4 linked regions of the Caenorhabditis elegans genome follow. The protein of the gene in region 3 interacts with the protein of the main gene of each other region in a biochemical or structural test. Each region holds a gene or a part of one and is shown on either strand. Other genes may lie near its edges. The genes, in order: flp-7, flp-13, npr-22 and flp-11.

Region 1 (4,674 bases), on a different chromosome or scaffold from region 3:
CTTCTGGGAATTCATAATTTGAAAATGAAATATTTCAATCAAATATTTATTTCTAGGAGTTGGCGGTAGAATAGTAGAACTTGATTAAAAATCCCACAACCTCGTTTATTTGAGCTCAAAAAAATGGGCATGTAGAATTGTTTGCGGATGCGGAACTACTTGGGTATTACCATATAATAAAGCTTTTTAATGGTTTCAAAAACCTACAAGTGTTTTTTCAACTTTGGAAACATTGAAGAAAGCTTGAAAATTGTGTGTTGGTGCAATTTTAATTAAATGTGGACTATGATTTGTTGAAAACCACTTCTATGGTGTTAAATCAAACAAAGAACATGATACATTTTTGCAAAAAATTAGTAAAATTTTTTTCGGTGAAAACTTAAGAAGAAAATTCAGTCTTTACAAATTTTTTGAAAACGAATAATTAAAAAGAAGAAAATCATTAAATTTTTATAAACTATATGCACCGCTTTTTGATTCACAATTCAACATTTCCAAATATTTTTTTAAAGTTTTATTATGGTGCTTGGTCTTTATAGAACCATAAAACTTATTTTTTTCATTCCCCCTCAGCTCGTACTGGATGATAATCTGTTGAACATAGTTTGTGTGGTTAAAATAAACAGCAAAATAAAATAAACAGCAAAAAAAAATTTATGTGAAAAATTGTATGGCTAAAACAAGGAGAATTGTTCAAAATTTCTCAAAATTTCCAATATCTGATTATTTGCCAAAATTTTTTTTTTAATCTGAGGCATCCTCTATCCCAATATAACTTTAGATAATACTCCTTCTAGTTTTGTTCCGTTTGAGGTTTCCGATCATTTTGATATTATTACAACTTCCCGTCTGTTCTGACTATTACTAATAAAAAGTTATCTGACATAATATAAACAACTGCAAAAAAAATTAACCCATTCCAGAAAATTATATCGAAAAATTTACCATTGTCGGTTTGAAATTTATTAGATTTAGGCTTTCTCAATAAACCTCTATTATCCAAATACGTATATTTCTGATTTTCAGGAAAACGAGCGGGTGACCATGACCAAAAAGCTCTGTATGATTTATTGCCGTAGGGATTGAGAAGCCTTTACAATGTTAATAATCATTTTGGATTATTTTCTGAAAAGTTCAACTTAACTCATACGACGCTCTCCTAGGAGAGTCGATGCACTTTGAAATAAAGTTAACAACTTTTAACGTTATAGGGAAAGGCGCGAGATCAGGCTTTTCTGTAGCTGGGCAGGTTTGATCATATTTGAATACTGCAGCGAATGAGTGGACATGAAACCAGGCTCGGGACACAATGCTTTATGGCGCGAAACTAGTCCAAAAAGCAAAAAATGTACATTGTTTTTAATCAACTTACCAGACTCACCGTATTAGCCATTCTGAACAATTTTCCTGTTTTTTATAGTTTTATTTTTTTGAAATCCTCTCATCCTTTGCATTGCATGAATTTAAGATGAAGGACTGGAAAACAGGCGTCGGTTCTTTATTTTGCAAATCGCAAATTAATTTTGATACACTGGAGTATTTGGGTAGCGACCAATCTGTACTATTAGTCAAGTGGCACAAAAATAATTGTCAAAAAAAAATACATAAATGAAAAAGGTAAGAATAGGCCGTAGAACGAGATTAAACTACAATGTGAGACCGTTTTGTTCTTGGTAATCAAGGTGTTTGCATGTACTTGTTTATTCGCTGTCCTCGATGTTCTTCTCGTTTGATTGCATCTCAAATTCCATCGAACGTTTGCCAAAACGGACCATCGATGATCTCTGCATTGGTGTCCGTTTTCCGAGTCTGAACTTCAGCTTTATTCACAAAATACTTTTCACGTCAATACGTACCGAACCATAGAAGCGCGATCAATTGATGATCTACCAAATCGGACCATTTTCGATCGGTCCATAGGTGATCTTCCAAAGCGAACCATAGCCGAACGCTCCATCGGTGAACGTTTTCCAAAACGCACCATTGAAGATCGTTGCATTGGCGACCGTTTTCCAAAGCGAACCATTGAGGACCTTTGCATTGGCGAACGCTTTCCGAATCTAACCATGGATGAGCGTTGCATTGGTGACCGTCCGAACCGAACCATTGATGAGCGTTGCATTGGAGTACGCTTTTGCTCGTCAATTCTAAAAGTGCATAGTGTGAGAATAAAGTTTTTTCTGAATAATAACAACTCACAAGTCCTCCTCTGAGAGTTGCTCTCCTGACTTCTCGAGTCTGAAAAATATAAAAAATAGAAAAAATAGGAGTTCATTCAGAATAATAAAATAAATTTATTCACTCAACAAATCACGACAACAAGAACAACATAATATCAATAAATCTCAACTCACTCAGTTGGTTCTTGAACTTGTTGTTCGGCTGATTCCTCGGCCAATACCAAAACTAGGAGACCAAGAGCAAGAAGAAGGAAGCGGGATCCAAGCATTTCTAAAAGTCTTTGAATGAAAACGAGATGGTATTTTTCGATGACGTCATGTTTCCAAACATGACGCGGAGTGGTTTAAAAATTGAAATTTCAATCGAGAAAAAATGAGGAGAAAAGTTGAAAAGTCAAAAAAAAGAACCCTTCTTTGAGTGTTGGCAGAGGGAAATTCAATTTGTAACTTGAACTGCAAATTGGATTCAAGATTGAGTGGATTGCACAAGACCAAGCAACAGTAATCAAAAAATTTGTATTTGACAATTTACTGAAAAGAAAACTGATGACGGGGCAAAATAATCACAATCAGAAACGCAATAGAAGCTGCTATCCATACTTATATACGCTTTCATATTCCTGAGCTCGAGAAAGGCTCATGCTCCACCCCCTTCTTCTCATGCCTTCTAACCTTGTCTGATGCTATGACTCCGCCTTCGTCCAAACAAAAACTGGAAATCGGAACAAGGAGAAAAAATAACACCAAAAAAAAAAAAAATCAAAATTAGGTTGGAATCCATTGAGATGGTTGGCTATTTTTGCTAAAGACGCATTAGCCCGATTAAAAAAATCCAAGTTCACAGAGCAATCAAAGTGAATTATACGGATCTTGGGACACTTCATTATTCACGCGGTCCATCTCTGTTTGATTGTGTCGGGTATTTTAGGATACTAGCAAGCACTCTCCAGAAGAGCAAAGAGAAAGATGTTTGAAACCTTTTGAGCGGTCAGTTGAGAATTTAGGAGGAAGTGTTAGAAGAAGGCAAAAATAAAAATTAATTCAACAAATAAGTTTCCAAAAATTTTGTATGTATTACTTAGACACAAAGTTATCCGTACTGATGTACGTTGAAATTTCAATTTATAAATTTAGGTATTATTAAAACTATTATCAGGCTCTTCAACCTATAAAAAAGTCATTTTGGAGCCTGAAAAAAAATTATAAAATATATTATGTTTAATTGAAATGAATAAATGAATGAAAGTTCAATTTATTTTTAAACGGGGGTTGTGATGCACAAACACATATTTATCTAGTCCTTTTTATGTAAAATATTATAAGAGTCGCATAACAAAAATAATTTTAAGTACATTACAATACAGCTTCAAGATTAAGAAAATCAAAAAATGACGTTTTTTTTCAATTGTGGATACTGAAGTTTTTTAAGTTCAATTTTGTTCAAAAACTAGTTTAAAATAAAAAAAAAGAAATTTCGGTCAGTTTTTCTTTTGATCATTGATTGTGAAATGTAGAGTTTAAAATAGTTTCAGATAAAAAACTTAAGTACAATAACAGGTCTTGACACGAGTTTTCAATAAATAATGTAAAACATACTTTTTGCTCTTTTTCAAAGTATGTTAAAAATTGTTGAAACCAAGTACCATATCTATAAAACATGTGGTTTTGTGAATCTGGGTGATATGTCATATTACGTATGTACACTTATTGTAGATGCGTTTGAGTATTTTTGCAAAACCCTTTCAAAAACATTCCATAAGTATTTTATAGAATCACCTGTGCATTTAATTTCAAACGTTTCCTCAATTATCGTAACTCGAGCAAAAGATGTGAGAGATGCCAGAAGAGAAGCTGCTATTTCATAGAACTCTAAGTTTTTGAACTACTTTAAGTAACTTTTCCAGACACAACCAAGCTATTAACTTTGTTCACAATAAATGAAAACACGTGGGCCAACAATTCCGAAAAAATTGAAAATTTATACGGCGAGTTGTAAGTCTTTGTAAAATGACGAAGAAAACTTACAACTAATGTTACCGATATAATCTTAAGTCTACGTCAAAACGGAAATTAAGTCGCTGCTGCAATGAAATTAAGAATTCTAGAAAAATTGAAGGCGGAAAAGTTGAAAAGTTGAAAGTTTTTGTCAGTTTCCACACGTAATTTCTAGTTTATGAAACTACAATTGTTAAATCATTTTGACACTTTGATCACATGGTTATATAGGCTCCAATTTTGCTTTTTGTTTCGCTCCAAGAAACTTTCAGCTCTCGCATCACTATAAATGATCATGAATTTATTCAAGCAACACTAATAAATAAACATAGAAAATATGCCTTATCAGAATTCGCTGTTCTTTGACCGTATTCAAGGTTTTTTTTTCGCTAGAAACATGTATGATTAAATTTGTTTAACATTAATCGACGTAGTAGTTTTTAATAAGGGTAAAAAATTTATTCCGATTTCTTAGAAAATTACTTTGTTTTATTTTTCG
Region 2 (4,983 bases), 860 kb from region 3:
ACTATCTACTCGTTTACCTTTTCATTTGTATTCTGGGTCTTTTGGTGCATCCGATGATATACTGCATACTGCTTTTTGATATAATTTTCACAGAGGAGACACTTCAAAATGTGATTGCTTCGGTTACAAGGAACTATCAATCAATCGTTTGGACTGGATTACTTGCTCTGATTCTTCTTTACTTTTTCTCCATATTGGGATTCTTGTATTTCAGGCATGGTAAGTTGTTTTGGTTTCAATTAAGTTCCCAAATATTTTCTAAAACTTTCAGATTTCTATTTGGAAGTTGATCCAGTTGAAAATGATTCATCTGCAACAATTTCATCCGGAATACCATCAGAAACGTGCCCATCAGAAGGATGCCCAGGATTACAACCATCAGAAAAAGATGACAATGATGATGAGAAGAAAGTAAAATCTTGTGAAACATTATGGATGTGTATACTTCAAACTGGATATCAAGGACTTCGTAACGGTGGAGGAATTGGTGATGTACTCAGGAATCCAGCTCCATGGGAAGATATGTTCATATGGAGAGTTGCTTATGATATGACTTTCTTTGTTGTTCTTATCGTTATTGTTCTCAATTTGATTTTCGGAGTCATCATCGACACATTCGGAGATTTGAGAGCCGAGAAAAACGAGAAAGAACAAATTTTGAAAAACAACTGTTTCATTTGTGGATTAGATAGATCTCGTTTTGACAACCGATCAGTGACTTTTGAAACACATCGAGAAACGGAGCACAATATTTGGCATTATTTGTATTACATTGTGATGCTCCAAATTAAGGATGAAACTGAGTTCACAGGACCCGAAAGCTACGTGGCACAATGTGTTAAAGATCGGAATTTGGACTGGTTCCCAAGAATGCAGGCATTGTCGTTACAAGATTCAGAATTAGACACAGATCAATCGGAAGTTAAACAAATGAAGGATCAGTTGTTGCAGGTAAACTATTTGACTACTTCTAATCTTAAAATCTTTTTAAAATGCTTTAAATTTCAGATGATGACCCTTATGCGAGAGATCATCAGTCAAAATGAAGAATCTCGGGCTTTCATGGAACAATTTCAGCCTCGTTAGACCTACTGAAAATAGATTTATTGGATAGATTTTTATTTGTTTCTTTTTCCAAAACCCATATTTATAACCCTGTGATTGTTTTCCCTTTTCTCGTCACAAAACCTGTTTAGTCGTTTTCAAAACCGGTATTTCAATGTTTTTTTTTACCTGTCTTCAACGTATTTTTATTTTTTCGTCTTTATCTAAGTTTGATTTTCAAATAAAATAATTTTGCTTGAAAGTATTAACAACCGGATAGAACAATTCATTTTTGTGAATTCAAGACGTCGAAGAAGAAGATGAAGAAATGCATGAGTAGAGCCAAAATGAAAATGAACATTGGTTGGGGGAAGAAGAGTGTTTGGGGAAAAGACAGTGAAGGAAGGAAATAGGTGTAGACACACAATCGTCGACTAAATGAGATCCAAAATGAACCACAAACACACACACACACAAAGAAAGATCAAAAAGTGAATTTATTTTCTGCCAAAACGAATGAGAGGAGCTGATGAAGCACGTCCGAAGCGAATAAGTGGAGCAGCTGCAGATCGGCCAAAACGGATGAGTGGTACGGCTGATGGAGAACGTCCGAAACGGATCAATGGAGCTGATGGAGATGCTCTTTTGCCAAATCTGATGAATGGAGAAGCTTCTGGAGCACGGCCAAATCTAGAAATGAAGTACAGATATCACGATGGTTTTCTAATGCAGGTTATGTATTTTGGATTGCTATTGAAACGGTAACTTTGAGGAGTTAAAAACAAAACTGTTGCACTTCAATTCAATAATCAGGAATAGGAAAAATATTGAATTTTTATATCTTGAATTTCAAAAGTGGCGTAGACAAATTTTAGGCAATCTTAATTTTTTTGAAATATTGAAAAGACTGACAGTTAAATGGGATTATGCAATTTGCCGTTATAGAAGTTAAAACTGTTTCTTCTATTCGGAAGCAGCTGTGGGAGTATAATTTTTAAGAAGGGTTGAAAGTTACCTGATCAAAGGAGCCCCATCGGCAGCTCTCTTTCCAAAACGAATGAACGGAGATGCTTCTGGAGCACGACCAAATCTGATGAGTGGTGCTCCATCAGCAGCTCTTTTGCCAAAACGGATCAGTGGAGAATCCATTGCACGAGTCGGTCGATCACTTCGTTTTGAGTTTTCGAGAAATTGAAAGAAGGGATTCTTCGTGTCATCTGAAATAGACATTTGTTTTCGGATATTGAATTTCGTTCAGAGTTCAGATATTTATGTTTTTTATTTAGAAAATAAATTAGATAGCTTTAAAAAACATTTGTTTACGATTCAGATTTCATCAAGTCCTAATGACTTCTGAGAATTCTACAGACTCTAATTTTTAAGTCAGGAGAAATGGATCCATCTGGATTAAAGACATTTTTTTCTGTGTACTACAAACTTCAAGAATACGAAATGAAGATAGCCAAGTTTTTTTTAACTATAGTTTTGATCAAAGTATGTTCAAAAGTAATTTGTACTTGAAATACTTTAAAAAACATATAACATTTCAATCCAGTTCTCAATGAGTATAAGCTTGTTCTAAAAAGTTCTAAAACAATATAAAAACAACAAACACTCACATTGTTCATCGAGCATTCGAATTTCCGACGAATCAAAGGCCTGAATGGCGACGACGAACATTGAGATAGTGAGCAGTGACGTCATCATGTTCGAATCGGAACGGGGCCGAGTTTGAGGGTGTCTGGAAATTGAGGAATCCCTACAAGATAATAATAGATGATAGTAGTCACAGTGGGAGGCGTTGGAAGAGAGAAAAACTTCAAAATAAGACAGGAAATGAATGAGCAAGATTTAAGCTTTTAATCCTAAAAGATGCATGATTTTGCAACTGACCTCCTAATTCCTGATGGCCAATAACTACTACAACTTTTAAAAAGTGTTGTTCAATATTTGTAGAGTACTTTTATAGTCAAAAGGTGAAGACAGAAAATGCGCGCCTACTTCTCGATTTTAATCAGATTTACGCAAGAAATAGAAACAAAATAAAAGAATGGAGGAGGGAAATGCGTAAATGTGACAAGTCAACTGGAATCTGAACAGATGTGTCTCGAGAGTTCGAGAAGATATTCAAAGAAATCAGAATACGTTGTAAATGTCATTATGTTAACATCAACATCACACTTCGGAACTGATAATATTGGAGTTCAAAAGATGTAGTCCAAGTCGCGAAATCGTTTAAAAAATATCATGGTACATGTTTTTAAAAGGTGTCAGAATTTATTTTTAATTGCAATCAAAAAAAAGTAGCGATTACTCAGATTTTGCCAACCATAATCGAAACCGGGCGACTTTTACTTTTATAATCTAATTATGTTTTCACGATTTATACAGGGTGGGCCAAAAGTATGGTAACACATGAAGCGTTCTTTTACATGAGCTTTTCGCGCGACTGCCACGTCATACGCACATTCTTCTATCAAACACTGATAGCTGAATAAATTTCCTTCAATTTGACTCAAAATTTGTAATGTTTCCCAATAAGGTGCGATCTTTATCACCTCGAAAATTTGGCGAACCCTTTCGAAAAAACGGTAATTTGGCACGCGGCACTTCCCACACAAACACACCTCCCACGCACGCCAATAATTTTCAGATGTATGATTTTTATGTTAAATTTAAAGTTAAAGAAGTGAAGAAGCGTTTTTGATTGTTTTTGTAGCATACAAAAATTTTCTGTGTCGACACTGGCGCCAGAACCTTTGAATTTTTCATGAATTCAACTTTGCGAAATTTACTCAGTTTTTTTGGTTTCGCAAGGCGTAACGACCCACAAAATCATTCGAGCTCAATTTTCTAAAAAAATTCTGGAAAGTCAGGTCAAAACGTCTCGAAAAATACTAAAATGAATTTTTCTGCATACTGCTACTCGCCGCTCACATCCATCTTTCTGGCGACTATGCCATTCAAGACTTAACCTACTGCCGCAGTCCATGACAGAAATACCGTGATAGAAATTATTTGGATTTTTGTTTTTAAAAAATCTCTAGACCAAGAGCATTCTTTGAACTATAAAAACTTGTAAGACACTTGATGGATTCCTTGAGAAAAATGTAGAAATCCCGCAGAATGCCGACTTGCGTGCCATAAAGGTCGTGATCTCAAAAGTTCTGAAGGCCTGCAGCGATGCGGATGGGAATATTTTGAAAATTCAAAACGTTCATCTGGTCAGTATTTTATGGAGAACAAACCTTGTACAAATTGATGTAATAACTCTCTCCACTAGTAAAGTTATAGAGCTGCAAACGTGTTACCATACTTTTGGCCCACCCTGTATTTAAATGTAGCAAGGATTGAACAGTGTTCTAGTGTTCTGAATTCCTCAGAAACGCTCCATAGGTTTCGTATATTTGGCAATTTACTAAGATATTGACTGCATTAAAAAAAAATACAAGAATGAATTTGTTTTGACACAAAATGCCGACTAAAATGCTACTACAGTTTTAATTAATAAACGGCTAGTTAGAAAAAATTGAGATTCAGTGTTATTTTCTCATTTTCATGATTTTCTGAAAATTGTTACATTGATATCTAAAATTTCAGTTTCAAAATGACCTATTTAAATGGGGTTAAAGAAAAAAGCGGTTGCAAGTCTGAACATTTTGACTGCAACAAGTGAAATAATGATGTTTTATATCAAATAAATTATAGTCCGTAAGAACACAAATTATGTTCCACCTCCACTTTTTTATTCCCAAATTATCATCATATATCACATTTGATCATGATTAAATTTTCGCGGAGCATAAAAATAATCTGATTGTAGTTCACCCACTTTCTTCCAAAAAAAAAGTAAACGTCAATATAAAAAACATAAAGGATCTTCTTAAAAATAAAAAAGAGATCAAGTTTCGGCGGGAGGACCGCCCACCTTCCGCCAAA
Region 3 (7,180 bases):
TCTTGTGACAACAGCGATTATCAACCAACTGAAGAAAGAAGAGCCATGGCTGTGGATATGATTGTCGAGCCGAAGTGGGTAGTCCAAAACTTTGGAAACATCCGCATCCTTGACGCCTCGTGGACCTTCAAGCCGAAAGCCGATATTGCCGAATACAAGGCCAAGTACTACAACAAGTTTGGTGTTGGAATGAATGAGTTGAAGAACCCTGAGTACCTTGCCGAGCACATCAATGGAGCTGCTCACTTCAACTTTGACATTGCATACTATCCATCGGAGAATGAGCGGTTCACTTTGTACACTCCAGAGGAATTCTCGTCGTATGTTAAGAGATTGGGTGTATTCAACGGAGATCATTTGGTCATCTATGGACGTGGAAAAGATGGTGGTATGGCTGCTGCTTCTCGTGCTTACTGGACATTCAGAGTTAGTTTCAAAATGTATCAGAATAAATTTAAATTCTTTGTGTTTCCAGTACTATGGTTATACTACCGTATCTGTCTTGAACGGTGGTATTGAAGCATTCAAACTTGCCCAAGGTGTCGTTCAATCCGGTGAGAGCATGATCTCATCTGGAAACTATGAAGCTAAATCGGTCGACAACAACATTCTTGCCAAGATGGCTGATATTCCATTCGATAACTTGGCTAGTATCAAGTACTTGGATGCTCGTTCGAAGGAAGAGTTTATCGGAAAAGTTCCAATTGGATATCCAGACTCGAAAGCCGAAGGTGTTCGTTGCAAGGATGCGATTCACTTCCCAATCGGAGAAGTTTGTGCTGCCAAGGGATTCAAGAAGAAGACTGATTGTGATCAAGGTTAGTTGATATCATTTGCAGAAGTTAACTGAATACTTCCAGCCTTCGCCGCCAAGGGAATCAAAGTCGGAGACACCGTTGTCATTGGTTGCGGAATCGGACTCTCAGCTTCAGCTATTTGGCTCGCGGCTGCTCGTTCCGGAATCGTTGCCAAGCTGTACAATGGAGGAGTCCACGAGTTGGCTTACAAGGCGCCACAACATCTCAACACAAAGGGATAAGTGACAATCATTTCTGATTTATTTCTGCATACAACAAGTCGCTGACGGTGTTTTGTGTTTTTTGGTTTTCATATGCTTTACTTTTGTGAAGTGTATGAGAAAATTGAAGAATAAAGATTGAATGAAAATGCATAAAAATTGTTCACTTTGATTGTTTTCTTGTCTGTTTTCTGGAGTGACTATATACTTTAAATATAAGTGTCTGCCTATCAAGACTGCTTATTTCATTTTTCTTTAATAAAATACTTGCATACAATTCACGGAAAATGCATCCCTTCTAAAAATAGACAAATGCCGAATCTCTGTAAATAAACCTTCACACGTGGAACTACAAGCTTGAAACCGAAATCAATCAAATATTTATCTGAATTGCTCAGTAATTTGCCAGTTTACAAAATTTCAGTCAACTCATTGGATTCTTTTAAATCTGTCAGATGTAAATTTGTAGTATTCTAACATTTATTTCTACATTTAGTTTTGAAAAAATATTCAAATAAAATGAAAACACGCAATTTGTATGGTACAAGTTTAAAATATTGGTGATGATTCGTGGATTTGGTGGGGCGAGTATTTACCGGTATGAAAAGCGTTTCAGACAACAATTGATGTTTCATATAAAATTGTTTCTTAGGAGATCTGAGGGGTTTTTTCTTACAATACAATAAAATGGATGGAATATAAACATAATTTGTGAAATTATGCTTTAAAATACAATTTCAAATAACAAAAACCTTGAATCTATGGTCTTCTATAGCTTTCCACTCAAGTACATGGTAGATCAATTTTCTTAATGATACGGGAAAAGCTACGCGAGAGAATTGGCAGAGTTGTTTCGGACGACGACGAGTGGTCGGGCTTCGAAGAAACGTGCCGAACGACATGTTTGCCTGTCAAGGACTCCACTTCGTGAATATCTCGTAAGCGATGTCTGAAAATATTGAAAATTAGGTTGTGGCTAGGAAGAAAGTCGATGTTGTGGAAATAATCAGATTGGAAAATGTGTACTAGGCAGTGGATATAATTGAGGCGTTTAATTAATAAAAAGGGTTTAGAAGTAAAGCATTTGAATTTAAAAACTGTTTTTAAAGTTTTACTTACAAGTTCTTATGGTTCTAGGTTTCGCTAAACTTCATCGGCAAACACTTTCTCAGTAGTAGGGGTTTTCCCTCTATCATTTGGTGGCAAAATTTAGTTCGCAGTTAATTCGCGACAGGCACATAATGACTCAGTAAACAAGCACAATGATTTCATAGCAATCCTGGCTCAATGTGCTCATTATAGGCAGCTTACGAGTCGCAGTATGCGCAATGTCCGATTTTTTTGACGATGTGTAGATAAATCACTGCTCTAGGATTCTGATGGGTCCATCGCAAATTAACTGCGCTGAACGACCTAGGCTGACTTAGAAGATTTTTAATTTTGCTAATTTAACGTACCGTATTTCCTCTCTTAGTAATGCACCGGACAACTTTACTTTGTAACGTTATATATCGGTTTATTTTGAATATATCATTATATCTTTAACTACGAAATTATAGAAAAAGAACTAAAAAATATTTTGTTAGTTGACAATTTTTAAATGGAACAAATGATAACTGAGATATACACTGTCAAAGTTGAACAATGGTGTGCAATACTAAAAGAGGAAATACGATATACTCATAATTTAAAATGAAATTAACTTAATCAACATATTAGTGCATGTGAAGCAGTGCAAAATAAACTTTAAAATGTAAAAATAAAAAAGCCAAGCCAAACAAAAAGTCAAGAAGGACAAAAAACATGGGTTAGAGAACATCCTTACAGCAGGTTTTTCATCGCTTGAAGTCGGATTTATGACACCAGAAAACCGTGAACGGTTTCGAAAACTGAATGATATTGTTGAGTTATTAAAATTATCAAACTGGTTATCAACAAATAAGGTTGATACATAAATAAACTGAATTGCTCCTAACTCTTGGCTTCAATTCAAAAACAGACAACTTTGTAGAAATTGACATACCTTCTGCTAGTATTATCAGTTAAAAGACGAAGTTCTTTAAATGATATACATGGAAGAAGTTTTGAAGAGAAGAAACAGAATCCTTCACGGAAACGGGCATTTCGAATGAAATAGATAATTGGGTTGACCATTGAATGAGACATGGCAAGTCCATGAGCAAACCACCTCAAAATGCGATTTTTAAAACCAAATTATTGAGTCAGATTAAAAGAATATTTCTTACCACAAATACAGAATATATCCCCAACTGTTGATATCTGGATAGAATTCTGGAATGACGTTGATCAGTATAAGTAAAGGAAGCCAACAAAGTGCGAAGAGTGCCGAAATGAGAATCACCATTGGGACCAGCTAAAAATCTTATTTAATTAACAGGTTTCGTTTCTCACGCGGTAATATTTATTGTATTTGATAAAAATAAGTAAAAACGATATTTCAATCTACTGAACAACTTTATCAAACCGTCATGTAATAGGCAGGTAAAATGTAATAACTTCGAACTTTGATTTAATTTTTTTCAATTTTAAAGTTTCACTTAATAATGATTTGGAAAAGGTTATGTCAAAAACGATTTTTGATTATTATTTTTATGCTACACATGAGAATATTGTTCCTATAAATATAGGGGTCGGTTGACTTTGATTATGGTTATTATTATCATCACCGCACTGAGGAGCCATTGATTGTTGCATTATTTCCATATTCTTATTATTCTAATAAATCAAAACTGGGAGTTTTTGAAAGGTTAGGCTTAAATTTTTAATAATTCCAGAAATCTCACCTTTTTGACACTTTCATGTCGATCAACGATCATTTTCTTTGTTGCTCCATTCTGCATTCCTGGTACTCGACTATTCCACATTTTAATTCCAATATGTGTGTAAGTTATTATTAAAACTGCTTGAGGTACAACATATTGTAGAATTAAGACCATTGAAGAATACACTTTTCTCACTTGTTCTCCAGAATCTCCAAAATACGTCCAATTTTCTCCACAATTCGGTAAACCGTCTTGGTCTTCGAAAAATCTCGTTGTGAAGAGTAACGGCAACGCCATTAGGATACTGAATATCCACGTGGCAGCTACCAGATAAAGAGCTCTTCGTCTTGTAATTCGAATATTTGGAGTTAAAAGGAACATTATAGCCATCCACCGATCAAAACTGATAACGACAAGTGTCCAAGCTGATAAAAATACAGCCATTGCTTGAAGGAATGCTAATAAAGAGCACATCATTGAGCCGAAGAGCCAACGTTGATCATCATAAATCAATACTTGCCAATAGCTGAACGGAATGCAGAATACTGATATGAGAAGATCAGCTGCAATTTTAGTTGTTTTTTTGGGAAATTTGCTCAACATCTTAGATTAATTAATTTTTTAAACTTATCCATTTAGAAGCTCATATAAGTTCTGGAGATTTGAAAAATTATAAAAAGTTTTCAAAAATTCAAAAGTAACAAAACCCACCAACTGCCAAGTTCAATATCAAAATATTAGTCGCCGTTCGAAGTCGTTTAAAATAAACAATAACCAGAATAACGAGCACATTTCCATAGACACAGCATACGCAAAGTATACTATAGAAAAGAATACATAACATCTGTAAAAAATTAGTAATAAATAGGTACAAATATTAAAGGTAATAATGTAGTAATTTTATTCATTTTTTACACTTAAAATGGCCTCTAAAAATTATACCGAATTTTAATAATGATAGCACTTGAAAAATTTTCAAAACTTTTTATTTACGGTTCAAGTTTTGAAGAAAACGCTATCATAAATTAACTAAAATAAAAGTACATGGCACGTTAAAATCAATTTTCAGCAGGTAAAATTGGCTAAAAACATGGCCAAATTGCCTAAATATGAAATGTAAAAAAAACTAATTTTAGTTCCTTTTTTCAAAGTTTCAAAACTCTTGTAAAATTTGGATTTTTAGATATACTTTGAATGTATAAGAATATTTTTTAAAAGTCTCACCTTCATACTTGGTGTCAAATGATAAATATGATTCATTTCTTGAACAGCTGGATTTTCAGTTGTCGTCGGTTCGTTTCGCATCATAATTTCAGAGGCTGTCGTCGTGATTCTGGAGAGCAAACTGCTTCCAATACCCCCTCCTTCGTCCATATTTGCTCACGAATTAGATGACGAATCGTTCGATCTGAAATTTAAAACAATTTATTCGGAAAGAGTTTGGGGAAGTGTTCCAAATAAGGAAGACCACTTGTTCATAGAAAACCGAAAATTAAAAACAAAGAAAAAGAGAACATATTTCGGAGAAATAAATGAATATGAAGAAACCAAGAATGTATTTTCTCGCACATTTTTTAGATCAGAAATGTTGAAAGAGAAACCTTCAAATTTATGAGAATGTAGGAGAAGGATAATATTAAGAAAGTGTATCAAATTTTGTTGTTTGAAATTGATTAAAAAGTAAATTTCTATAAAGTGAAAAATTATATAAACGAAGAAGGTCAATTAGCAGTTGGAAAAATAAGGCAAAGATCAAACAAGATTTTTTTGTGATTCTTGGGTTTTCGGAAGCAAAGTATGAGAGAATTAGAGGAACATAGGATGCTCGCAATGATATTTGGATGTTTGTTGACCTCGAAAAATGACTATAGTCTTTGCGGTTTTGTAGAAAAAAAAATATAATGTTTCCGAATCCAGAAAATTTGTTAAAAGTGTGGTATATTCGAAAAATAATTCTTTTGGGAAAGTCCAGTGGGAATTAAAAAAATATATGGCAAAAGTATAGGGAAGGGAAAAACTTGAAGAACTATCCTATTTTTCGCACAAGGATGATTGGGGAATGATTACAAAATGCAGAAGTGATAGTTTTTGATTAATAAATAGGTACATTGTAACCGAAAAATCCAGAAGGTAGGCTGCTAATATCTGTTTTCGAAATCAAAATTAATAAGATGATTTCATCTGAAAATGTGGCAAACTTTCTTGAAATCTGCCATGTTTAAATAGTGATATAGTGATAGTAGTATCTAGTGATCTGTAGTGGTCCCATTTTGACACATGATCCATCAATTTCAATGAGAAAGGTCAAATCAGCCAGACATGTGTTGTATTAGTTTACAAATGAACTTTGCAAGATAACAGGAATTTATGGAAGAAAAATGTTGGAAAAATGCGTGTCTACCGAAGTTTTAGACATGAGTAATATGATCATACGATAGAGTACAAGTACAATATGAATACTTGAATAAAGTACAAACTTTTATTGCAGGGTTAGAGCACGTGCTAAAACTTGAGAAACTTGAACAAAATCAAGTAAAAGAAAATTGTTACAGATTCTTTAAACCGAAGTTTTCCAATTGTATTGTGCTAATTGTATGTTCCAATAAAGAAACTCTAGCTAACTGTTAATTATAAAAATTTAAGATTTTGGATACGCGATTGGTTTCTAGAATTTAATCGAATGAAAGATTACCGTCGTTTTATCGTATTCTTCAACACTATATCTCAATAATTTTAGCTGAATTTAATTCTTATTTGTCTATTTTTTTGTAGAAAAAACTATTGACCAGATAGGACAAAAAAAAACTGAAATTTATTAAAATATGTCTAAAATATGTTTCAATGATGTTATAATCAGGAAATGATAAGGTAGACCTCAGTACATATGACACCTTTCACGTTATTAGCAAGAATGTACATAGATATCTCAAGATTCAGATAGATTACGTCATCACGGCATGAAAATGTCTCAAATGTACATCTCAATTAGCATAAAAATAATTTCTAGAATTTCTGAAAGAAAAAGGAGAAGTATATAAAAATAGGAATAAGAACACCACATCCTTGCAAAATGAATAATAAATAATAAATAATTAATATTGAGTCAACAGAAATGTGTCTGGATGTAGTGCGATGTTGTGAAAAAAACAAGATAAAGTTGACTGAAAATAAGAAAACATTCATGTCAAGTAAGCTTCAAAACTTTGGAAAAGTCTTCGCTTTTTGGAAGTCGTCTATGGCAAAAAGTGGCAAAAACTCAGTAATTGCCACTTTTAAACTGTCAATAAAAATTTTCACACTTTTTATTTTGAAAAGTTGTATTTGAACATTTTGGCATCATAGGAATGGTTTTTGACAACTTCTCCACATCCACCTTCAA
Region 4 (4,154 bases), on a different chromosome or scaffold from region 3:
TTACTCTCAAACAATTCTAGGCTACTCGATGCTCTTTAAATCGGGTTAAATACGTTCCTCCGGTGCTCAATAATGTATTTTCTGCTGGTTTGGCATCAGTTGCAATGGCCTTCTATCCCACTGTCAGTATTGCTATGTATTGTCTCTGGAAAGCAATTGAGGTATGATATTTTGCTCCTCGTTTAAATTTCCTAGCTGCAAACAGCGTAAGCTTCTAAAAATAAAGCTCTGAAACAAAGAAGATGTGAATTTTGATGAGCTGCTCGACCGGGGTGGAATCCCAAATGTGAAAGGCGGGCTTCCATGGTGATATCCTGACGACAGCGAGGTGATCAGCGCCAACTCCCTTCATGACATTTTTTCAGACGGTATATTTCGATCTAGTTGATCGAGGTTATTTGCCAAAATTCAAAAATGGAGAAGTAATTCTTTACGCAATCACGACGGGTTACGTTTTATGGAACGCTGTTGTTGAACCTAGAGCAATTCGAAGAGGATACCTCAACTTTCTTTTTGGACTTGTTGGTGGAAAGTAAGGATCTAACTAGCTGTAACAACTTGACTTTTTCATTGCAGGATCTCGCTTTTCAATCGACGTCTCTACGATCATTTTGGCTTTGTTTCTCGAGATGTTTACACGAAAATTCCAGAATTCGATCCTAAATATGCAATGATTAATCCTATGCTTTACATGCCACTTGTTGAATAGTTTTTGATCTAATATTTGAAAAAAAACAGGTGTAATATAAAAAAAATAAATTTAATTTTTAATTTGAATTTTCCGATTCAGATTTTAGAATTTAATTTTCTTTTGTTCACTATCTGAAAATGTGAAAAAAATAAACAAAGTGATTTTGCGAGTAATTAACAACGCCTTTATTGTTCATAGACAGAGCATAGAAATATCAGAAAATGTGTGTTGTTAGCTGATAAAAAACACCAAAAGAGATCTGGGGAGATAACTTTCCTTCGGAGGGAAAGGGGGGTTAAGCGACACCAATCAAATTCTAGACAGCAAGAGAGAGTATGAAAAAAGAGAGTGTGAGAGAGAAAAACATATGATTTTTAATGATGAATTCGCCTCAGGAGTTGTTCGAGCAGAAGACGGTCGTCCTCGGTCATTACTTGTTGTTGGCGAACTTGAGCTTCTGAAGAGTCGACAAAAGGTCGTGCATGTGGTCGAGTTGACCGGATCGGCCAAAGCGAACTGCAAAGCAAAATAAACGACACATGAAGCAAAGGCAAAAAGCGGAAGAAAAATTTTAAGACAACTTACCAAATGGTTGTGGGGCACCGTTCCGTTTTCCCTGGAGTGGGCTCTCTGGAGCAAAGTCTTCCTCGTCCAATGGAGACCTCTTTCCGAATCTAACGAGAGCATTTCTCATTCCACCACTAGCTCTTCCAAATCGAACCAAGGCGTTCCGCATGGCACGTTTCTCCGCACTACAATAGATTTATATGGGTAATTGATAAAAATTGTTTTAAGAAAAAACTATACCTGACGTCATCATAAGATTGAGCAAAAGAAGCGGCAACGAAGACAATAAGGAGAAGTGCCAATGCAGAGAATTGAGTCATTATTCAGTATGAACTGCAAAAAGTGAGACGAGCGGCTAGGCGCAGTCTTTTTATACCTGAAACGATGTATTAGGAGGGGGCGTTGTAGATTCCGAAGAGAAAGCAAATAGCCGCAGGACATACTTTATTACTATTTACAAATGGTTTGATGAGTTTTGAACGTTTTAATGAAAAATTTGCGAAATGGATTCTTCTCAAGGAAACTTCTTATGGAAAATAGGATGATGTCAATGGTTTCCAAAACGAAACCGAAGTGTAGGGTGTCTTTGGGCTTTTCAAAAGCAAGAAGTGAATAGATCAAATGCAGGTGTTCTGCGCTCTGAAACGTTCCACAGGCCACGCCTACTTGTGTGTGTGTGTGTGTGAGGAAACTGAGAAAAACGCAAGCAAAAAAGTCATCTTGAAAATAGCATTAAATTTCGGAAAGGAAGGAAAAGCTAGTTTTGCTTTTTTTAATAATGGAAAAAGTACTACAAAATGTGTACAATATTTTGTGAATATTTTGAGGACGCTTGTTCTAGTGTTCTTGAATTTTTAATTTAGAATTGTTATGAAGTTTTTATTCATTTCCAACAGATGCAGAGATTTTCTATACAGAAAACATTCTAATAATTATAATGTATATTTAAAAATTAAAACTTGCAAAAAAATTTCTTGAAAATTTACCAATTTGCCAAAACTTTAATTGAAAATTGTTGTAAAATTTGAAAAAGTTTGAAGTGTTTTATTAATACGTGTCTGGTTTTTTGGAAACATTTTACTTGGTCCAGCACTTTAACTGGCACTTCTCCCAATAAAAGATCGGTTTATTTCCAAAATGCGTGCCTAACTGTTATACCAAACAAATAAAGTTTTTTAAAAATCGGCAGTTGCCGCAAATTTCGCATTGTGTGCCGATGTGCCAAAATTGCCAGAATTTTTGATAATTTTTAATTTTCATCATATTTCAAAAATTAAAAATATATCAAAACTTGATTCAAAGTCATAATCAATAGGTCATTTTCTTACTGAAATACCTAATATTTTGAGGTTTATTGTTTAGCTAAATCACCAGTTCCGGCAATTGTTGGACTATAAACTTTTGGCAATATGCCGAAACTGCCGAAATTTCGACGCACTCCTGTTTACAGAAGATTGAAAAAAAGCAGAATTAGAAGTTTTAAAGTTGAGATATTGGTCAGAAAATCGATTTCATTTTTACGAAAAAAATATTCCAAAAAGTCACAATGGAAAGTTTGAAAAATGACCCGTATTTATATATTCGTGTGTCCTTGTTTGACATGAAACCTTCTTATCGTTTTTCAATCTCCCCCACTTTTGCACTTTTTTGAAAATCTTTCTTTACAAGAAGACGCACCTTGCAAAAAGTGCGCTCAAACACTGATTATGCCAAGCGAAACATGGGTGTGAAACTAGAAAAATAAATTAGATGCAAAATGGATTCGTCTATGCTTTTTCCTCAAATATTAAATGAGTTTACATCACTTGGCGCCGGGATTCGAACATCATAAATTTATGAGTTAGAAGATGCCCACGAAGGTAAGATGCGGAAATATTTGACACGTCAGCAGGTTGTTAAGTTTCGTCGTCACAGTTTTGCATCTTTTCGTATTTTAACTTATATTTTATAATCTTATATTCAATGGAGTGTGGGTGTTTGTGGGTGGAACCAGGATTGAGGATGCTAAAAGTTGTGGGGGAATTACTCTTAACAGATTGAAAAATGAAGTGCGAAAAGATATGAGGAACTCTACTGGAACTGATGGGCCATAAAACCATGAAAACCTCTCTCACCCCATTCATCAACTTTAGAGGCTCAACATTTGGAAAAAAAAGGTTTGGGCTTTTGGGATACTTGTTTTTCTTTCTCCAGATCTTTCCAACTTTGGGGAACTAGTAAGCCACAATGGTTTCATAGAACTTGATGAATAGTCAGAGGGAACAATGAAACCTACAATGAATCGAACATCAAATGAAACTTGATATGAATAAATGATAAGATCACTAGTGGAACGGAAACTGGAATTAAAGCCTAGACCAACTTACATCATCTTTTTTCATTTTTCAGTCTGAGCACAATGTTATTCCTTTTTCAAAAATTGCAACAAGAGACCAGACAAAACACTTATTGAACCTAAGGAAATGATTGAAATTTTTTTTCGGGACTGGAAACAACTAAAATTTATGAAAACAAAGAGCATCTTGGATGCTAGTTATTTTGAGATGCTAGTTATTTTGAAAATTCTAGGTTTCATTCCAAAAAAGATAATCTCATTTTCTGTTAAATTTAAAAGCTTAGATTTTTACATGTATTTCAATGGCGAGCTTTAAAATAAATTCTCCTAAAAAAAAAAAAAAAGTTGGATCCGAATTTGGCAAAACAGACTGATAATCATCATAAATTGAACAACACTTGGACCGAATGTGAGCTGCAAAAAAAGTTTGGAGCAATTTTGTGCTCACTTTAAGCTTCAGTTTTGGCAGTCTGGGATAGTTTTTCCAAGTTTTTCCCAAGCTGTACCATCTTCTGACTCTAAGAAGTGATACCAGTCTGAATATCAGAGTTCGATTTTTTA

Evidence for each region.
Region 1: of the proteins of npr-22 (region 3) and flp-7, one has a biochemical effect on the other in vitro, tested with the Caenorhabditis elegans proteins (one study listed by BioGRID).
Region 2: of the proteins of npr-22 (region 3) and flp-13, one has a biochemical effect on the other in vitro, tested with the Caenorhabditis elegans proteins (one study listed by BioGRID).
Region 4: of the proteins of npr-22 (region 3) and flp-11, one has a biochemical effect on the other in vitro, tested with the Caenorhabditis elegans proteins (2 studies listed by BioGRID, with this or other methods).

Annotation. Positions count from the first base shown.
Region 1 is NC_003284.9:5,883,642-5,888,315, reverse strand, and holds flp-7 (TPMQRSSMVRF-amide 2), read right to left. Parts: upstream 2,452-4,674; 5' UTR 2,450-2,451; coding exon 2,355-2,449; intron 2,239-2,354; coding exon 2,200-2,238; intron 2,148-2,199; coding exon 1,857-2,147; intron 1,810-1,856; coding exon 1,701-1,809; 3' UTR 1,483-1,700; downstream 1-1,482. UniProt on the Caenorhabditis elegans protein: FMRFamide-like neuropeptides. Stimulates serotonin-induced fat loss by binding to and activating the npr-22 receptor which leads to induction of the atgl-1 lipase and subsequent fat loss.
Region 2 is NC_003282.8:7,695,618-7,700,600, forward strand, and holds flp-13 (SPSAVPLIRF-amide), read right to left. Parts: upstream 2,804-4,983; 5' UTR 2,752-2,803; coding exon 2,664-2,751; intron 2,262-2,663; coding exon 2,060-2,261; intron 1,735-2,059; coding exon 1,542-1,734; 3' UTR 1,312-1,541; downstream 1-1,311. Other genes in the region: Inositol 1,4,5-trisphosphate receptor itr-1, read left to right, coding at 1-219, 272-951, 1,009-1,086. UniProt on the Caenorhabditis elegans protein: Probable FMRFamide-like neuropeptides. Binds to neuronal receptors such as dmsr-1 to promote sleep in response to cellular stress also known as stress-induced sleep (SIS).
Region 3 is NC_003282.8:8,557,463-8,564,642, reverse strand, and holds npr-22 (Neuropeptide receptor 22), read right to left. Parts: upstream 5,212-7,180; 5' UTR 5,176-5,211; coding exon 5,026-5,175; intron 4,646-5,025; coding exon 4,513-4,645; intron 4,365-4,512; coding exon 3,823-4,364; intron 3,393-3,822; coding exon 3,265-3,392; intron 3,207-3,264; coding exon 3,042-3,206; intron 2,908-3,041; coding exon 2,844-2,907; intron 1,968-2,843; coding exon 1,845-1,967; coding exon of another isoform or gene 1,802-1,844; 3' UTR 1,482-1,801; downstream 1-1,481. Other genes in the region: mpst-6 (thiosulfate sulfurtransferase), read left to right, coding at 46-426, 476-818, 861-1,039. UniProt on the Caenorhabditis elegans protein: Receptor for the LURY-1-1 and LURY-1-2 peptides which control food-related processes including feeding, lifespan, egg-laying and roaming behavior. Receptor for flp-7 which stimulates serotonin-induced fat loss.
Region 4 is NC_003284.9:4,676,489-4,680,642, forward strand, and holds flp-11 (SPLDEEDFAPESPLQ-amide), read right to left. Parts: upstream 1,635-4,154; 5' UTR 1,579-1,634; coding exon 1,499-1,578; intron 1,444-1,498; coding exon 1,277-1,443; coding exon of another isoform or gene 1,263-1,276; exon of another isoform or gene 1,208-1,262; coding exon 1,122-1,207; coding exon of another isoform or gene 1,066-1,121; 3' UTR 846-1,065; downstream 1-845. Other genes in the region: tmem-135 (Transmembrane protein 135 homolog), read left to right, coding at 21-161, 366-532, 577-709. UniProt on the Caenorhabditis elegans protein: FMRFamides and FMRFamide-like peptides are neuropeptides. Induces sleep-like quiescence behavior following release from RIS interneuron. Helps to sustain locomotion stop after gamma-aminobutyric acid (GABA) induces fast slowing response.